3 linked regions of the Macaca mulatta genome follow. The main gene of each other region encodes a partner of the protein of the gene in region 3 in a complex. Links are inferred from orthologs where the notes say so. Each region holds a gene or a part of one and is shown on either strand. Other genes may lie near its edges.

What was found. Proteins that work in one complex are often made in the same cells at the same time.
Region 1: KIF11 (region 3) and RBM10 share a complex: the UniProt entries of both Homo sapiens proteins name them as parts of the large chromatin remodeling complex. The link is inferred for Macaca mulatta from reciprocal best matches to the Homo sapiens genes KIF11 and RBM10.
Region 2: KIF11 (region 3) and MYSM1 share a complex: the UniProt entries of both Homo sapiens proteins name them as parts of the large chromatin remodeling complex. The link is inferred for Macaca mulatta from reciprocal best matches to the Homo sapiens genes KIF11 and MYSM1.

What each region holds. Positions count from the first base shown.
Region 1 is NC_133426.1:47,208,440-47,214,156, reverse strand, and holds part of RBM10 (RNA-binding protein 10), read right to left. Parts: intron 4,163-5,717; coding exon 4,102-4,162; intron 3,948-4,101; coding exon 3,771-3,947; intron 3,386-3,770; coding exon 3,225-3,385; intron 3,054-3,224; coding exon 2,956-3,053; intron 2,847-2,955; coding exon 2,759-2,846; intron 2,052-2,758; coding exon 1,865-2,051; intron 1,760-1,864; coding exon 1,620-1,759; intron 1,518-1,619; coding exon 1,400-1,517; intron 1,316-1,399; coding exon 1,224-1,315; intron 1,097-1,223; coding exon 932-1,096; intron 1-931. UniProt on the Homo sapiens protein: Binds to ssRNA containing the consensus sequence 5'-AGGUAA-3'. May be involved in post-transcriptional processing, most probably in mRNA splicing. Binds to RNA homopolymers, with a preference for poly(G) and poly(U) and little for poly(A).
Region 2 is NC_133406.1:181,979,852-181,985,568, forward strand, and holds part of MYSM1 (deubiquitinase MYSM1), read left to right. Parts: intron 1-685; coding exon 686-818; intron 819-4,786; coding exon 4,787-4,892; intron 4,893-5,070; coding exon 5,071-5,128; intron 5,129-5,717. UniProt on the Homo sapiens protein: Metalloprotease with deubiquitinase activity that plays important regulator roles in hematopoietic stem cell function, blood cell production and immune response.
Region 3 is NC_133414.1:104,552,997-104,559,508, forward strand, and holds the start of KIF11 (kinesin-like protein KIF11), read left to right. Parts: upstream 1-2,179; 5' UTR 2,180-2,511; coding exon 2,512-2,588; intron 2,589-6,512. UniProt on the Homo sapiens protein: Motor protein required for establishing a bipolar spindle and thus contributing to chromosome congression during mitosis. Required in non-mitotic cells for transport of secretory proteins from the Golgi complex to the cell surface.

The DNA.
Region 1 (5,717 bases), on a different chromosome or scaffold from region 3:
CGGCCCCCCTCCACCTTTTGAGTCTCCATTTAATGCCATCACTGAGAGTGGGTTCCAGATAAAAAGGGGGAGTTTGGCCCAATTTTCTCTTGCTCTAATGCATGCTCTCTTGCCCTTTGCGCATGTTATGATGCAGCAAGAAGGCCCTCACCAGATGCCAACACCACTGGGCTTCCCTGCCTACAGAACTGTGAGCCAAATCAATCTCTTTTCCTTATAAATTACCCAGTCTGTGGTATTGTTATAGAGCAGCAAATGGATGAAGACACTCCTCTTCCCCTCACACATACCCACGCTGTCACATTTGTTGTGCATTTCCATTTTATCATTTTAAAATGCATAGGAATGTTTATCTGTGTATAATTTGAATTTATATGCATGACACAATGCCACATTCTATATTTCCATGTTTCCCCCGCCAGCACAGCACCATTTTTAGAATTCACCAGGTTGCTGAGGGAACACTTTGTGCTTGCTTGTAAATGCTACACTCACAGTGTCACACCCTTTCTCCACAGACAGACACTGAGGTGCCCTCCATTTGCCCACTCCCACAAAACACTGCAGGGCTTTTTTCCTGCCCACTCCTTTATGGGCCTGTGAGAATTTCTCTGGCATATATATACATATCCACCAGCAGCATGTGAGGGTCCCCACCATGGGACAGAAGACACCTGACAGGGCTTACTCGGATGGCACAAGCCACCTCCTGGAGTTGGGCAACCCTGTCACGCACTGAGGAGACTGCTCTGGCTCAAGGCCATTCAGCAAAGAGCAGAGCTGGAGCAGGAGCATGGTCTGCTAAGCAGTCACCACCCACATCCACACCTGCCTGCCATCTCCCTCGGCAGGAGAGGGCGAGAGCTGACAGAGTGCCGCTGCTGGAAGACACCACACAGTCAGCCAGTGACTGCTGGACCCTGGTGTTCACCTGTTGAGCTGTCTTGGTCTTGTGCTTCTCCTTCTTCTCTTTGCCCTCCTTCGAGGGTGCCCCCGTCTCCTTATGCCCATCAGCCGACTGCTCCAGGGCGGGAACATAGGTCCGCCTCTCCCCATCCCAGTACAGGTACTGCTGGCTTTGAGCATTGTAGTAATACTGAGGGAGGAGGAGTGAAGAAGGGATGTGAGGGAAGACCTTGTGAAGGGAACCTGCAGGGCCAGCTGCCCCGATGCGACCTGACCCGACCCCATCCCTCTCTGCCCTCTCTGGGCTGCCCTATCACCTGGGAGTTGGGGTCATAGTAGAGGCCGGTCTGGGGGTCATAGTAGTAGCCGGAGGTCTCATCGTACTGGTAGGTGGAGACATCGGGAACAGCTAGGGGGTGAGGGGAGCGGGGTCACACTCTTCCCTGCTTTATTAAGAACTCCCCATCCCTACCCACAGGCTGTGGGTACTCACGGTACTGGCTGTAGGATTCCTGGGCAGTGGGGCTGGTGGCCGGTGGGAGAGCAGAACTAGGATGGGTAGGGCTCTGGAGCTCAGATTTGAGCACAGCGGGTGACATGATGGTATACGACTGGTCATGGGGCCAGACAGGAGAACAGGGCTCAGTGTCTGCCCATGCCACCCCTGCCACCTGCCTGCCTCCCTGGGATACATACCCACAGGGCTCACTCACCTGGCTGTTGGCAGCAGTGCCCTGGCTGCTGCTTGCCTCGGCTGATTGTTGGTAGATGCCAGGGGCAGCACCAGGCTGGGCGCGAGAGAAAGCCTGCATCGACACAGAGTCAGCCCCAGGCTCTAAGGAGGCCTCAGGACCTGTAAGGAAGGACAGGGCAGGGAGAATGCCTGTGAATAATGGGGCCGGGGACTCTATGCCTGCTGGCCCCCACCACAGCTGCAGAGAGAGATGCTGGGGCTCACCCGCTCCGGTGGGGTCCCCTTTGGTTCCAGTGATGCCAGGGCCCTTGGTGCCCTTGAGGTAGCCATGGGCATAGAGGGAAGACTCTGTGCCCTGGCTGTTGCCATAGCCCTCATCCTGTTGGTAGTAGCTGTAGTCGACCGGCGGCTCCTCGGAGGTGGCCCAGGCACCCTCCCCACCTTGGGAGGCCTGAAGGGCAGGTGGGAGGGGTTCATTAGAACAGGAAGGTGTGGGGATGGGGAGGTGGGGAACCTGCTAGAAGCATCTGTCCCACACGTGGGGCTAGTGTTTCTACCTGACAGAAAAGCATGCAGCCTAAGACAAGTGGAAAGCAAGGGTTGCCTGGCCACAAGAGAACAAATAGGCCAGTGGCAAACACAAGACATAAAAACAGACGAACGCCAAAATGTTCCAGGGCTGATTCTGCTGATTCTGCTGTGTGTGGTGTGTGTGTTGGGTGTCAGGCCAAGGAAGACACCATCTTCTCACTTCTTTATTCTCTTCTCCCAATTTTCTCTCAACCACTTATACATTATTTTTATTCGGGAACATATGATATGTGTATATCATATATGTATATATTACATATAAGGATATGTGTATATCATACCAATTCAGGACAATAAAAACCCCACCAAACAGAACAGAATGCCAGGCACAATGGCGTCGTACATGAGCGCATGGGAGGCAATTGGGAAGAAAGCTACGGTGATGATGAAGGGGAATGTCCCAGGGGGTCTAGAGAGCCAGGAGCAAGGTAGAATGGCCATGCCAGCTACTGGGAGAGGGTTTTGCATCCATGGATAGCAAGCCAGCCTTCCTGCTTCAGAGAGGGTGCAGGAGGGTTGAGAAAGCCCAGGTCTCAGGACGCTGGGAGGCACAAGGGGTCTGAGTACCTGTGAGATGGCCCACTGGGCCGCAGCAATGGCAGTGCTGGCCACAGAGGCAGCACTGATGCGACTGCCTTCATTGGAGGCCATGTCCCTGAGGAGGATGTTAGAGACTGGGAGTGAGATGGGAGGCCCCAAGCGGTGGGGGGGAGTGGGAGGGTGGGGAGGGGAAGGGTGGGAAGGCACATAGGTGGGGCCCTGACCTCTTAGAACCCTTGGCAAACTCAACATTGATGGTCTTGCCGTCGATGGTGAGTGGTGGGTGCAGGGCTTGCAGGATCTGCAGCAGCTGGGCTGCCTCCTGTGGGAGGAGGTGAGGCAGGGACAGAAGGGTCAGGCCCGGGGAGGCCCCCGGCTCCATTGCCCGGTTTCCAGGCTGGGGGCCGCGGTAGGAGGCTGGGGAAAGGGACCCTCCTCCCCACCCTGGGGGCCGGGACCCTGGCTGCCCGGCCCCCAACTGTGCCGCCCTCACCACGATGGTGGAGAGCTGGATGAAGGCAAAGCCGCGGTTCAGTTGGGTCTGCTTGTCCTTTATGACGCGCACGTTGGAGGAGGACAGCACTGCGTAGGGTGCCAGGGCCCCCAGGATGGAATCCATGGTGCTGTGTGGGTTCAGGTTGCGCAAAATGATGGCTGTGGGAAGGGGCCCAGTGTTAGAGGACGCCCCCGGCACTCTTGCCAGCCCTGCCCTTCAATGCCCCCCACCGCTCCCTTTCCTCTGCCCCCACCCCCCCATGCCTCTGCAACTGCCGCTTCCCTCACTGCTTCCTCCGGGATCAACTCTGCTTGGCGGTCCAGGTGCCAGGCTGGCTGCCTGTCTACTGAGAACCTTCCCGACACACCCCCAAAGTCAGGTAGGATGTTGCCACTCCCTCTGCTCTCCCTACATCAAATGTCTATCCCCGCACCAAGTGGAGATTCCATGAGGATGAGGTCCTGCTCACTGCCATTTCTCTGGTCTTGGTGAGCCCAGCCCAGACACCCTAGGGCACAGAGGAAGAAGGAACAACTGACTCACTGTCATTGGCGTTCTCTGAGCTTGGCTCTGAGCCTTGTGACAGGGCTTGGGAGGCCAGGACTCCCTGGGCCTGGTAGGGCTGCGGCAGGGGAAGCAGGCCCTGGCTCAGCTCCCGGCCACCCAGTGGCAGTGTCTGCTGATCCAGTCTCGTGCCGAGGGGCAGCTTCTGCTCTGCCTCTGTCAGGGGCGGTGGGAGACAGGCTGGTGATAAGGGGGAGGCTCCATGACTGGTCACCCTCCTCCCTATACCAAGCCTTGAGCACAGACCCCTCACCTTCCCTTCTCCCCAATTGCCCCGCCCTGGGGAGTGCGAGGGGTAGGTGGGCCTCACCTGACTTGGGCACGCCACATTTGAAGCACTTCTCTCGGCGTTTGAAGTTCTGGACGCCACACTGTGAGGCACAGGCCAGGCCGTCAGAGGGAGCAGGGATTTCCCACTGCACCCTCCAAACTTGGATGCAGAGATCTCCCAGGGACCCCGCAGTGCCCCAGGAAGGAAAGTCCCCAGGCAAGGGTGGCAGGTGCCTTCTGAACCTTCTGATGTGGTTCTCAGTACTGTGCATCTTCCCTTTCCAGACTCTCATTTGTTCTCTGTGCCAGCCCGCTCAGCTCAGGAATGAACAACTCCCCCCTTGTTACAACAACTCCCTCCTCTCCTTCCTCTGCCTTCTTAAGGCCACCAACTCCCAGGACTGTTCCCCGCCTCACGTATTCAATCCCTTTATTAGGTTCCTCTCCCTGAAACTTGCTTCTCTATTCAGAAACCTTTCAGTGTTTCAGCCCTAGAAGTCAGTAGCCTCTGGCCAGACCTGCACCCCTCCTCTTAGCTCTAGGACTGGGTTGGATCCTGCTTTGCTTGAGAAATTTTCCTTGAATGTTCCAGCATCTGGATACCCAGCTTCTACTACATTCCATCTCTATTCCAGACTCAGGTACTAAGCACCAGTCCCGGGCCAGGTCCTGCTGCACATGGCCAGAACATGGTCTCTGCCCTCATGGCCTAATAGCACGGGGGCAGATGCAGCATGAAGAGGGGCAGGTCGGTCTGTGTGGACCATCCAGCAGGGGCTCGGGGAGGGAAACGGGCTGGGGGTGGGGTGCCACTTACTTGGCAGGGACAGTCCCTGCACAGAAGCAGGGACGTCTGACCTGGGATGCCCAGAAGTTTCATTTTGTTAAGCCTTGCTGGGGAGGAATTGTTATCGGAGGGAACACTGGACTTTCCAAAACTGGTGTGGGAGAGTAAGGGGAGAAGCAAAAGCCAAGGCCAGGGAAGGAAGTCAGTTAGGTAATGGAGGATCTTATGCTTAAGCTGAGCTGGGGCTGGTTAAGCAGAGGATGGGCGTGGGTGGTCAGAGGTGGTTTTGAGGAATGTTCCAGGTGAGGGCATGGGAGAAAGAGGACAAGAGGCCGGCATACCAGAGAGGGCTCCATAGCGAGCGGGTGAGAGCGTGACGATTGGCATGAGCAGCGGGAATGGCAAGGGAGGGAAGGTGGCGTTTCTGTGATGGAAGTGACAGGACCTGGTGGCCAACAGGATGCAGGGGAGGGGAAGGAGTTCATGAGAATTCCCTGGTTTGGGGCTGGGCGTGGTGGCTTATGCCTGTAATCCCAGCACTTTGGGATGCCGAGGCGGGAGGACTGCTTGAGCTCAGGAGTTCAAGACCAGCCTGGCAAACATGACGGAACCCTCTCTACCAAAAAAAAAACAGGCAAAAATTAGTGGGCATGGTGGCATGCGCCTATGGTCCCAGCTACTCTGGAGGCTGATGGCTTGAGCCCTGGAGACAGAGGTTGCAGTGAGCCCAGATTGCTGCACTCTAGCCTTGGTGACAGAGCCAGATCCTGTCTCAAAAAAAAAAAAAAAAAAAAAAGAGAATTCCCTGGTTTTGAGGCTATCTGGAAATACAGGAAGGCGTTCCACTGTCACTTTGTCTTTCTCTCTCC
Region 2 (5,717 bases), on a different chromosome or scaffold from region 3:
GTGACTGGGTTTGCTGTAGGGTATTTGTAAATTATTACTGTGTTGATAAGAATTACAGATGCAGGGTGGTGAATATAATTAGTGAATATATTCATGGCAAATACAGATTGTGTAGGCCATTTTTTTATTTTTAAGGGTCATTTTGGATTTGGTTGAACACATTTTTGCCTGAAAAATGTACAATGTGAAATGAATATTTAAGGCATTTGATTTAGTTTCAGTTGGGATGTGAACTTTTTTTGTTGTTTTTTTTTTAGAGACAGAGTCTTCTTACTCTGTCACCCAGACTGGAGTGCAGGTGGTGCGATCTCGACTCACTGCAACCTCCACCTCCCAGGTTTAAGGGATTCTCCTGCCTCAGCCTTCTGAGTACCTGGGGTTACAGGAATGTGCCACCACACCCAGCTAATTTTTGTATTTTTAGGAGAGATGAGGTTTCACCATGTTGGCCAGGCTGGTCTCAAGCCTGATCAGGCTGACCTGACCTCAGGCAATCCACCTGCCTCAGTCTCCCAAAGTTCTGGGATTACAGGCGTGAGCCACCGCTCTGGGCCAGATGTGAACTTTTTAATGCACCTTTTTGTTCCTGCTTTTCCTCATTAGATGTTTAAAATGTTAGTATGGATAAATATTGGCTTTTGAGTTTATGCAGTTGAAACTAATTATATTTTTCTTGTAATTGTAGAGCTACTTCTCCAGAGGAGGTGCAAAGTTCATTGGAATGATTGTTAGTCCCTATAATCGAAATAATCCCTTACCATATTCTCAGATTACCTGCCTGGTTATAAGTGAGGAAATTAGCGCAGATGGCTCTTACCGTAAGTTTTCAACAAAAATAACTTTATCCTATTTCTGCTCTCATTTATTTGACTCATACAAATCAAAAGATTTGCAACTGTGCAAAAGTATTTAATGCAAGAGTTTGTGCCCTCAACTAGGGAATCATTATTTGGGTGCCACCCTAGTGCAGCCACCCTCTTCCCTTTCTTAATCTCCTGCTATATTCAAGTCCCCACTTTTGTTACCATGGCCACTGGGCAAAAGGATTGAAATATGGGGAAAAGTTATGGCCAGGCAGTGTGTATGCTAGGTACTGGAGATACTGCAGTAAACAAAACAGTCTCTGTTCTCATGAAATTTTTTTTATAAATGCAGACTGGCTTTCTCTGTGATGGTATGCAAATGAAAAAAAAAATGACCACCAACTCCCTGTCACTTCCCAGTTTAGGGGTTAACAATGACTAACTCAATTTGTATATTTCGTTGCTCCCATTGTATCTCAGGAAAGAATTTGATTGGCATAGACCATCATTTGACTTGATTCCTCCGAGGTTTATGTCCACTTGTAGTCCAGTCATTTCTGGGTGGATAGGGAATTAGTATAGCAGACTAGGAAAAGGAAGGGAGTGTGGCTAGAAAGCAAATAATCAGAGGAAACAATAGGCTAAATAACTCTAGGATATTCTGTCATTACTACCACTGCTCTAGGTCAGGTCCCCTGGACGCTGCCACTACAGTTACCCCACATTGTACTCTTTCCCATTAGATCATGAGATCTTTGAGAATAAATACTGTATTGTACCCATTTTTCTATCCAGTTTCTAGCACAAGGCCTGGCATAAAGTAGATACTAAATGAATGAATGTTTAATAATTAATTTCTCTTCATTCTTAATGATCTCACTTGGATGCCTTATATTTTATAAAGACTTACCAGCACTGCCCCTATGTTATTTAGTATTAGTTGCTCTATTTTTTATGTATCTGCAACACTTTATTCCTCCCTTCATGGTCACTTTGTCTTTTAATGCAATTTATCTATTTAGCAAGTCCTAAACAAATTGTATGCCCGAAGAGCAGGGACTATGTCTTATTTGTCTTTTTCTCCAGTAGCACCTAATAAATTGCTTTGCATCTAGGAGGTGGTCAACACTATGTGGGTTTTTATTGAGTTAATAATATTGGCATTAACTTTAGTCTGGAATGTCCATTTTGAGCATAGCACGTAATACATAATACTCTTAAGCTCAGTACAGTTTTATAAAAAGAATCGCAATTGTTCTCTCTTTAATCATTTTATAATCTCACAGACTGCTAGGTTTTGATAATGAACCTCAATTCTGGTGGTGTCCAATACAATAGCAGTACATGTGACTTTAAATGTATGTTGATTAGAATTACATGAAACTTAAAATTTAATTCATGGAATTCTACTCTGGCCAAATGAAGTAACAAGAACTTGTCTGAAACTACCAAAACACTGGACAAAGTATATAAAATAATGGTATTTAAACACAATGTTGAGCAGCAAAGGAATGCAGTTGCTAAGATATGGGAAACAAATGAAAAGAGCCCGAAATTACCCTAGCTTACTGTTTAAGAGGGTTTTCAGATATGGCACAAGAAGGAGAAACCCACCCAGAGTCAGGCAGACTCAGTTAAGGTGATGGAGATAAGGAGACCAAGACAGCTGAGTTTGTGAGACAGCGCCCCAAGAGAACAGAAAACAGAATGGAGAGTGAACTCTGGAGATTTGTAGAAGGGTATCCCTGGAGTATTTGGCAAAATACAGATCAGCACATGCATGTGAAGAAACTAGCCCAGATGGGAAAGAACCACTTGAAAGCATTAGAGGGAACTATCCATGATGCTCCCGTGAGCTACCATTGGACACAGCTGTCTTGTAAATGACTTGTCCACGCTTAACGCTGCATATTAGATCTTAATCCTGGGTCTTTTGCTTTGCCCTTAGAAATCCTCTGGTGCAAGAATTAAGGTTTTCTAGAAGCCATGGGATACCTTGTGCTACAGTACTTTTAACTCAGGTCATATCTTTATAATATCTCTAATGGTTTAATGTTTTCTTTACTTGTGACAGGGAGGAAATATATTTAGTGATTAGTTTTCTTATATTTTAGTGGATAAAAATATTCTCTATAAAAGGAAACTTTTATTGACTTTAAAAGTACCTTTTTTTAAATTAAAAAATATTCTAAAAATACCAAATAGACCTGTATATGATTTGTGTGTGTGTTTTCATGTTTTTGCATCAGCATAGATTGGAAATGCATTATTTACCTTTCTTTATTTTCATTTTCAACTTTCACTGAGAGCAGGAGTCACTCTACTGGAATCAGATCCCAGCTCTGACATTTATTGCTTATTTTACCTTGGGCAGTTTACTCTCTCATTCTCCTTTGCCATATCTGTAAAATGAGAAAAAATTACTACCTTGCTTACAGTAGGTATATGGTTGTAAGGTGTGTCAGTAATATATGTAAAGTGCTTAGAAATAATAAGTTTTCAATGGATAGTTATGATTATATAGCTGGTATCCGTATTTAGTAAGTAATCAAAGCATGTCAAGTAAGTGATCGTTATCACCAAAAGGAGTTTGCTTAGTACTCCACGTACTATAATGTGTCACTCTTTAAGTTTTTGGAGAAGAGGAAAATTGAGCAATTAAATAAAAAAGATCAGTCATCATCATCAGGCTTGCTGTCCGCTGTCCTTCTTCTAAACACCTGAAAAAATACCTTTTTAGAGCATATTGACAGTTAAGCTATGCTTTATTTCATTATGAGGAAACAGTTGTATTTTTCCCTTTTTTTTTCCATGACTTCGGATTTGCTGGCATTTTATTTATTTGAAAAGCCTTATCATGGTAGAAACCCAGTTGAGAGGCAGTATTATGTAAAAGTTAAAAGCAGAACTCTCGAGTCTTACTGCCTGGGTTCAAATCCTGCCTATGCCTTTATATCTGATTATGAGCAGGCTAACTTTTCTATGATGTAGTGTCCTCATCAAAAAAAAAAAAAAAAAAGGGCAGGGGGCTGGGCGGGAATAATGGCAGCTACTTCATTTAAGTGATTTCACATAAAGTTTTAGGTGGCACATAGTACACATTGTAAGTGTTACTATGATGGTATCAGCCTTTGGTAATGAATCAGCTGAGCTTTTAAAAAAATGCTACAGATACATTTGCATGGGGCTCTTGAAGGATATGTGAAAAATTGCTAAGATAGCTCATTGTTTCGTATTTTTTCCTTTCTAGATGAATATATGATGTCCACCCCTTGGGCTTCTTTCTTTCCTCCAGAGTTTAGTGTAACAACTTTGACTCAAAGCAGTTGCTGCCTCCCTAGAGTTCATCCTATCCTCTTGTCTAGTCTTAGATTAGCTCTTCTAGGGAGGTGGAATGAGTTTGGGCTCAGAAGTGAGGCGAACCTGCTGGGTTTTAACATCTATGTCCTGCCACTTTGCTAGCCTAAATATGTTTTTTAATGTATCTCAGCTTCAGTTTTCTCACCTGTTAAAAAAAAAAAAAAAAAGATATGGCATTGTTGTAAGCTTAATAACCTGTATATATGTGTTTTTTAAATTATCACTTGGATGGCAATGTGTCTCAGTTTGTCTAGGATAATCCTAATTTAAACCTGTGGTTCAGGCATAATTATTCATAGTACCTTCTTTCATTCAAAAAGTCTCTTGGTTTAGGTGATAAATTACATGATCATCCTATCATAGTGCCATGCATAGAGCTGTCATGTAAATGGCACTTCTACTCTTCTTTATTATTATTAATAGCTTGGCATTAATATGCTTAGTGGACCAAGTACAGTCAGGCAATAAATATTTAATGAATGCCCACTATGTTTAAAGTGCTGTTCAGCTGGTCTACGAAGCTGTGGTTGTAAAAACACTGAAGGGAATTTTAATTATAATTAAAAGGAGATTGGCGAGTTAAGAAATAGTTGATGAAAATGTGCTTCTTTATGCTTTTCTAGGCTTACCTTACAAATTTGAAGTACAGCAGATGTTAGAAGAACCTCAGTGGGGATTAGTATTTGAAAAGACAAGATGGATAATAGAAAAATACAGGCTCTCCCATAGGTATGTACTGTAGTTTGAGATGGTTGCACATCTGCAGTGTTGCTCATTAAATTATGTTTCAGAGAAAACCCAAGTTAAATATAAAATTGTGATGTATGGCATCTGTGATAGTTTATTACGAAACTGATTAGTTTATAGTATTCGTTTCATCAGTTTGTTTTCATATTTCTTCCTACAGCAGCGTCCCCATGGATAAAATCTTTCGCCGGGATTCTGACCTGACTTGTTTGCAGAAAGTAAGCTGCCTTCATTTTAATTGGTTCCATTGTTCACAGATTCTAAAGCTATTTATCTCAATGTGTTTTCCCATGATGCCTGATACTTTGTGGATAATTTTCTGTATATTTTATTACTTTTTCCTTTGGAAAATTAATTTCTAGGAGATAATTAGTAATGTGTTTTGTTGCCCAAGCTTGCACATAGAAAAAAATACTATTTTAGAATAAATTTGTCAGTGTCAGCTGATAAATTTCTTCGCAGATTATTATTGTACACAATGGAGAACATTTTTCTCATTTTATTAAATTTGAAAGTGCCATGTTTCCATTTTAGCCTTAACAATTGATCATTTTTAAGAATGATGGTATAACTCTAACAATTACATTTAAATAGTCATTTTATTTAACTTTCTAGTAGGAAATAAGAGTTTTGAATTCTATCAGTTCACTTCTAGGTTTTGCTTCTGTAATGACTGAAGGCTAGTAGATTTGTAACATTTGTCTTATTTTTTTAAATAGCAGTTGGGGATAGAAAATTTAAACGTTAAGTTTCTTTTTAATATTTTTTACTCCTCTGTTATATCCACTTTTTTTCTGTGTTGTTGAA
Region 3 (6,512 bases):
CAGACAGCTGGCTACTCAAAATAGAGATGACCAGCAGAAGGAGCTATAGATGCAGATATTTCCTTGGGGCGGGGGGCCGGAGGGGTGGGACGCATGTAGGGGATTAGCAAGTGGAGGAACATAAAAAGGACATCAGAGCTTTCCACTACACCGGGGTGTTACTTAATAGACTAACACGACATTTAGGTTCTCATGGGTTGTGTGGGCCAGAAGCACAGTTCCAGGAACCGACTACAACATAGTGTGAGATATGATGTTTCTCTTCAAATAACCCGATCAGTCTTTTCTTCTTTAATTCATAGTACCCTCCCCTTTTTCCCTTTTTCTCCTTTTTTTCTTTTTGCCTTTGTTAAATGCCGAGGCACGCCACAATACCAGACGTTATCAATACCAGCTCACATTCCTTTCCTCATTTGAAAAGAGGACTAACTTTCTAGCTCATTACAGACATCCCTTCCCCTTTCCTCTCCGCCTTCTGTTACGTGCCCACCTTATCTAAAAAAAATCAAATGTTTAGCCAAACGGGATTAGTTTAGATTATACGACCCGACCCCAGCCAATGGGAAAAAATATACAGGGGCAGGACTTGGGTCAAAAATAAAGACTCTCCTGCCCCTTTGTTCAGGTGTGCTCTCGTGGCGACTGGCCAAAAAGGCACCCCTCTGCGCAAAAATAAAATTGCTTTGCTAAAAATCCTTTGTTCAAGTATTCAATTTCCTTAAGATTTTAAACGTTATTCATAACAATAGGCTCCTGTTACAGTATTTCCTGATGCGGCATCCCACACCTACAGCGGTCAAGTCACGCCAGGCACTGCCAAGACGCCGAAAATTTCGCCTGCAGCAGACCAGAGGTGACTGAGGGCGCGCAGGCCCCAGCGAGCGCTGCATGCTGGGATTCGTAGGCCGGGGCGGCGGACGTTTGCGCAGCTTCCTTGCGATGCGACCGCCCGCTGCGCCGCGCGGAAACCCGGAGCGCAGCGCGCCCGCGGCCTGCGTCAGTCGGTCAGTGCAGTCGTTCTAAAATCAAGGCGGACCCTGCTTTTTTGCCTGGAGTCGCTTAGAGATGATGACCAAAGGATAAATTCAGAGTCCTCCAAATGGCATCCAGTGTCCATTTCATCACGATTTGGAACCTGTAGTAGCCTATCTCTTAACACTTCCTTATTATTATTATTATTATTTTTTGAAAAAGGGCATTGCTCTGTCGCCTAGGCTGTAGTAATCCAGCGGCATAATCCCGGCTCACTGCAGCCTCGATCTCCCCTGTTCAGCGATCCTTCTGCCTCAGCCTCCTGAGTAGCTGGGACCAACAGGCACGCACCACCACACCAGGCTATTTTTTCCTCCTGTTTATTGTTGAGACGCATCGGGGAGCGGGGGGCGAAGGGGGGTCTCCCTATGTCGCCCAGGCTGGTCTCAAACTCCTGGCCTCAAGCTATCCTCATACCTCGGCCCGTTAAAGTGTTGGGATTACAGGCGTGAGCCACCGGGCCCCGACATTAATTATTCTTCAAGACTATTCTGGGCCGGGCGCGGTAGCTCACACCTGTAATCCTAGCACTTTGGGAGGCCAAGGCGGGCGGATCATCTGAGGTCCGGAGTTCGAGACCAGCCTAGCTAATATGGTGAAACCACATCTCTACTGAAAATACAAATATTAGCCGGGCGTGGTGGAACATACCTGTAATCCCAGCAACTCGGGGGCTGAAGCAGGAGAATCGCTCGAACCGGGAGGCGCAGTGAGCCGAGATCCAGCCCGGGTGACAAGAGCGAGACCCCGTCTCAAAAAAAAAAAAAAAAAAAAAAAGACTATCCTGGTCTCTGCCTCCGGGATGGCGGCTCGCTTTGGACCTCTCTTCTGTGCTTCTATTGCCCTCTCTTACAATTCTCTAATAATTATAATCATGGCGAGTGCTTACCATATATTCCGATCTATTTCCACGAGCTTATTAATTCTCATCCTAACCCTCTGAGATGGTTACTATTATTTCCTCTCTGCAGATGAGGGAATTTTGGGCTAGGGACGTTATGTAAGTTGAGCCACGCTACGCTAAAAGTTCCACGCTTAGTTCCAAAGTCTCAGCTCTGGACTACGAAATTCCGGAGCAGGCGGACAGCCCAACTCTTTAAGTTCCCGCAGGCCACGCTCCGAGGGCGGGGCTCTTGGTGAGGACACTGCATCCCATGGTGCCTTGCGCGCCAGCGCAGTCATTGGTCCGGCTACTCGGTCCCTTTTTCAAATTGAGGCGCCGAGTCGTTGCTTGGTTTCTGGGGCTTGGGGTGGAGACGAGATTGGTGATTTGGCGGCTCCGGCTGGCGCGGGATAAACGCCACGGCCAGAGTACCGGGTAGAGAGCGGGGACGCCGAGCTGCGTGCGTCGGTCCTCCAGGCCACGCCAGCGCCCGGGAGGGACCAGGGAGACTCCGGCCCCCGTCGGCCGCCAAGCCCCTCCGCGCCTCACAGCGCCCAAGTCCGCGGCCAGGCCTTGATTTTTTGGCGGGGACAGTCATGGCGTCGCAGCCAAATTCGTCTGCGAAGAAGAAAGAAGAGAAGGGGAAGAACATCCAGGTGGTGGTGAGATGCAGGTAGGGAGAGGGCTGACAGGATTCCGAGCGCCGGGGCTTCGCTGCTGGGCCCCCTAGTGCGCGGTCCAGGGAGAGGGATTTTATTTGCATTTCCTGAGGGTCCCAGTTTCTTGGTTCTCCTCTTTCTGTTCAATAAAAATGACACCCGGTTGCTTTGTGTGTCTGATTTTTAGCAGAAAATAGTATGTTTGGTTTGATCACTGTTCCATACTGAAAAGTGCGTTATTTTTAAACTATAGTCAATAAAGACTTAGGTGTCACTTATATATGCTACTTCATGTAGTTTGTCCGTTTGGAAGTAAGACTGAATACCTGTTTTGCAGATGGTTTAGCACTTACGTTGGTATTATCGCCTCTAAAAAGCAATCAACCACTGTTCTCTTTATTCTAGATGCAGTATTTTCTGCATCCCTACTAAACAAGTAAACATCTGTCTTTAAACATTAAAAATTAAGTTATAAAGTGAGTTTATGTTTTTTAAAAGATCAAGACAAGCTAAGCTAGTGTAAATTTCTGATTGTGCTACAGTTTTCCCTTTTATCTGCCTGTTTGTTCATAGACCAAATTAAATGGATATTTCGAGATAAGAAGATGTGGAGGGGTGTTCGGCCCTCCCCTGACTCGTTTCCAAATAACTTCCCAATTTTAAAATGAGCTAGAAACTGCTGTTTAGTTAGAATTGATGTATTCAACTTTTTAGAGGCTCTCCACAGTTTACTGAGTTTGTGTTTTGTGTGTCTGTTTTTGTGGCTGTTAACAGTTGCTGTTGCAACTTTTCTGTAAACCCCAAAGTAGTCTAAAATTAAAAGGCTATTTTTTTGGAAAAACCTGTTTCAACAAACTTTCTTAGGCTATTGTTTACTCAGCCCTGGTAACTTCAATTGTAGATATCAAAGGTGATGACTAGGTTTCTAAGCGAGGTGCCAGAGAGGAAATTTGGTGGCAATCTTAAATCTAGCCAGTGACACTTACCAGTTGTTGTACTCTGGGGCTTCTGTTAGTAGTTGTTCTGAAAATTTTTATTTAAAAATGCTGTGCATATAACAAGTGCAAATTTTAAACTTATTTTGGTTGTTTAATAAAACCAGGCAATATTACCTTTTCCGTATGCCTTTATTTGATTTCTTTTTTTAACATTAGTTACAAAATACTTCAGACTTACAAAAGTTATTAAGAACAATGTAATAAACATTTGTATATTCATCACCCAGATTAAGAAACAAAACAATCATTGCTGGAGCCCCCCCTTTCCCCTCTCTATCCCTTTTCCTCCAGCCACAGTTAACCATTATCTTGAACTTGATGTTTATGATCCGCATACATTTCAAGCCTTGCCTTACAGGAGATTTACTTTATCACCAATGAATATAATAGTTATTTGCTTGTGTCTAATATTTACAATAATTTTTGTGTAAAGAGATTTTTTTTTCCACATTAGCCTTTTTCTTTCAAATAGCCTTCCTGGTGCAAGTCTGTTATTAAGCTTTCGTAAATAGGCAACTTATGAGTTGCAAGGCCCTCAGGGGTTGGTAAGCCTTTTCTGAAAAGGGCCCAGAGAAATAAATATTTATTTTATTTAAATACTTTAGACTTTGCAGGTCACATGTGGTTTGTTATTTTTTTTTTTTTTTGAGACAAGGCCTTGCTGTCTCGCTCAGGCCCTAGTGCAGTGGCGCAATCTCTGCTCACTGCAACCTCCGCCTCCTAGATTCAAGCGGTTTTCCCACTTCAGCCTCTCAGGTAGCTGGGATTACAGGTGCACACCGCCATGCCTTGCTAATTTTTGTATTTTTAGTAGAGATGGGGTTTCACCATGTTGGCCAGGCTGGTCTCAAACTCCTGACCTCAGGGAATCCACCCGCCTCAGCCTCCCAAAGTGCTGGGATTATAGGCATGAGCTACTGCACCCCTCCACATGTGGTTTCTGTCACATTATTTTCTGATCTTTTTTTTTTTTTTTTAAAGAACACTTTAAAACTGTAAAAATCATTCTTAAATCTGGCAGGGCAAGGGCCAGGTTTGACTCACAGGTTAAAGTTTACAGATCCCTACATAATGCGCTACTGGCTATCTTTCTTATGCCCCTGCTATTCTGTCCCCTATTTTTTTCCCAATTTAAAAAGTCACTTTCGAATACACATAATATAAAATTTAACATCTTAACCACTTTTAAGTGTACAGTTCGGTGATATTAAATACATAATATTCTGCAACCATTACTACCATCCATCTCCATAACTCTTTTCATCATGAACAACTGAAACTCTATACACATTAAACAATAACTCCCCATTTCCCTCTCCCATCAACCCCTGACACCTACCATTCTACTGTCTATGATTTTGACTACTCTAAATACTTCATAAAATAGAGTCATAATACAGTATTTATCCTTTTGTAACTTGCTTATTCCACTTAGCATAATGTCCTCCAGGTTGGACCATGTTGTAGCAAACGTCTTCTTTTTTAAGGCTGAATAGTATTATATGTATGTATCATATTTTGCTTGTCCCTTCATATGTCAGTGGACACTTGAGTTACTTCTTAATTTTGGCTATTATGAATAAAGTTGCTATGAATATGGGTTTTCAATTCTTTTGGGTATTTACCCAGAATTATAATTGCTGGATCATATGATAATTCTATTTTAAATTTTTTGAGGAACCAACAAACTATTTTCCACAGTGGCTGGACCATTTACATTCCCACCAACAGTGCATAAGGGTTCCCATTTATCCACATCCTCACCAACATTTATTTTCTGTTTCTTTTTTTTTCGAGTAGCCATCCCATTAGGTGTGAGGTGGCATCTCATTGTAGTTTTGATTTGTGATGATTTTGAGCATCTTTTCGTGTGTTTACTGGCCATTTTGTATATCTTTGGAGAAATGTCTAAGTCCTTTGCCCATTTTTATATTGGTTTGCTTTTTTGTTGTTGAGTTTTAGGAGTTTTCTATGTATTTTGGGTATTTTCAGATATATGATCTGCAAAAAATTTTTCCCCATTACTGTGGGTTGCCTTTTTACTCATTGATACTGTGGTCTTTTCCTTTCTTTTTCTTTTTGGAACCAGCGCATGGCCTCTTTGCTGATTCTGTTTGGCCCCAGTGCAGACTGTTCTGTGCTATGTGTCTGCAGTGCTGAAACCAGGCCTACCCTGCACCATGTAGAAGTCCAGGCTGTAGATACCAATGCATGGGTCACATTTGATACCCAAATCTATGTGTTCCTGCATCTCCAAACCAGTTTCCGTATCCGAAAAGTTGCTCTTTATTGATTCACACTCCTGCATCTTTAGGCCTTTCTCCAGGGTTTCTTCTGCTTTGGCCCTTTGTGCAGTAGGTGGCAATCTTTTCATTTCTCCTGATGCCAAAGGATCTGACAATGTATTTGGCTGTGTAATACGGATTACATTGAATCTGTAGATCACTTTGGGTAGTATTGGCATCTTAACAATATTAAGTCTTCAGTTCATGAACAAGGGATGTGTTTCCATTTATTTATGCCCTTTAATTTCTGTCAGCAGTTTTTTTTTTTTTTTTTTTTTTTTTTTTTTTTTTTGAGACGGAGTTTCGCTCTTGTTGCCCAGGCTGGAGTGCAGTGGTGCAATCTCGGCTCATTGCAACCCCCACCTTCCTAGTTCAAGTGATTCTCCTGCCTCAGCCTCCTCAGTAGCTGGGATTACAGGTATGCGCCACCACGCCCAGCTAATTTTTGTATTTTTACTAGAGACAAGGTTTCACCATGTTGGTCAGGCTGGTCACGAACTCTTGACCTCAGGTGAACCACCTGCCTTGGCCTCCCAAAGTGCTGGGGTTGTGAGCCACTGCGCCTGGCTGGTCTCAGCAGTGTTTTATAGTTTTCATTTTATAAGTCTTCCACCTGTGTGGTTAAATTAATTATTAATATTTTATTCTTTTTGAT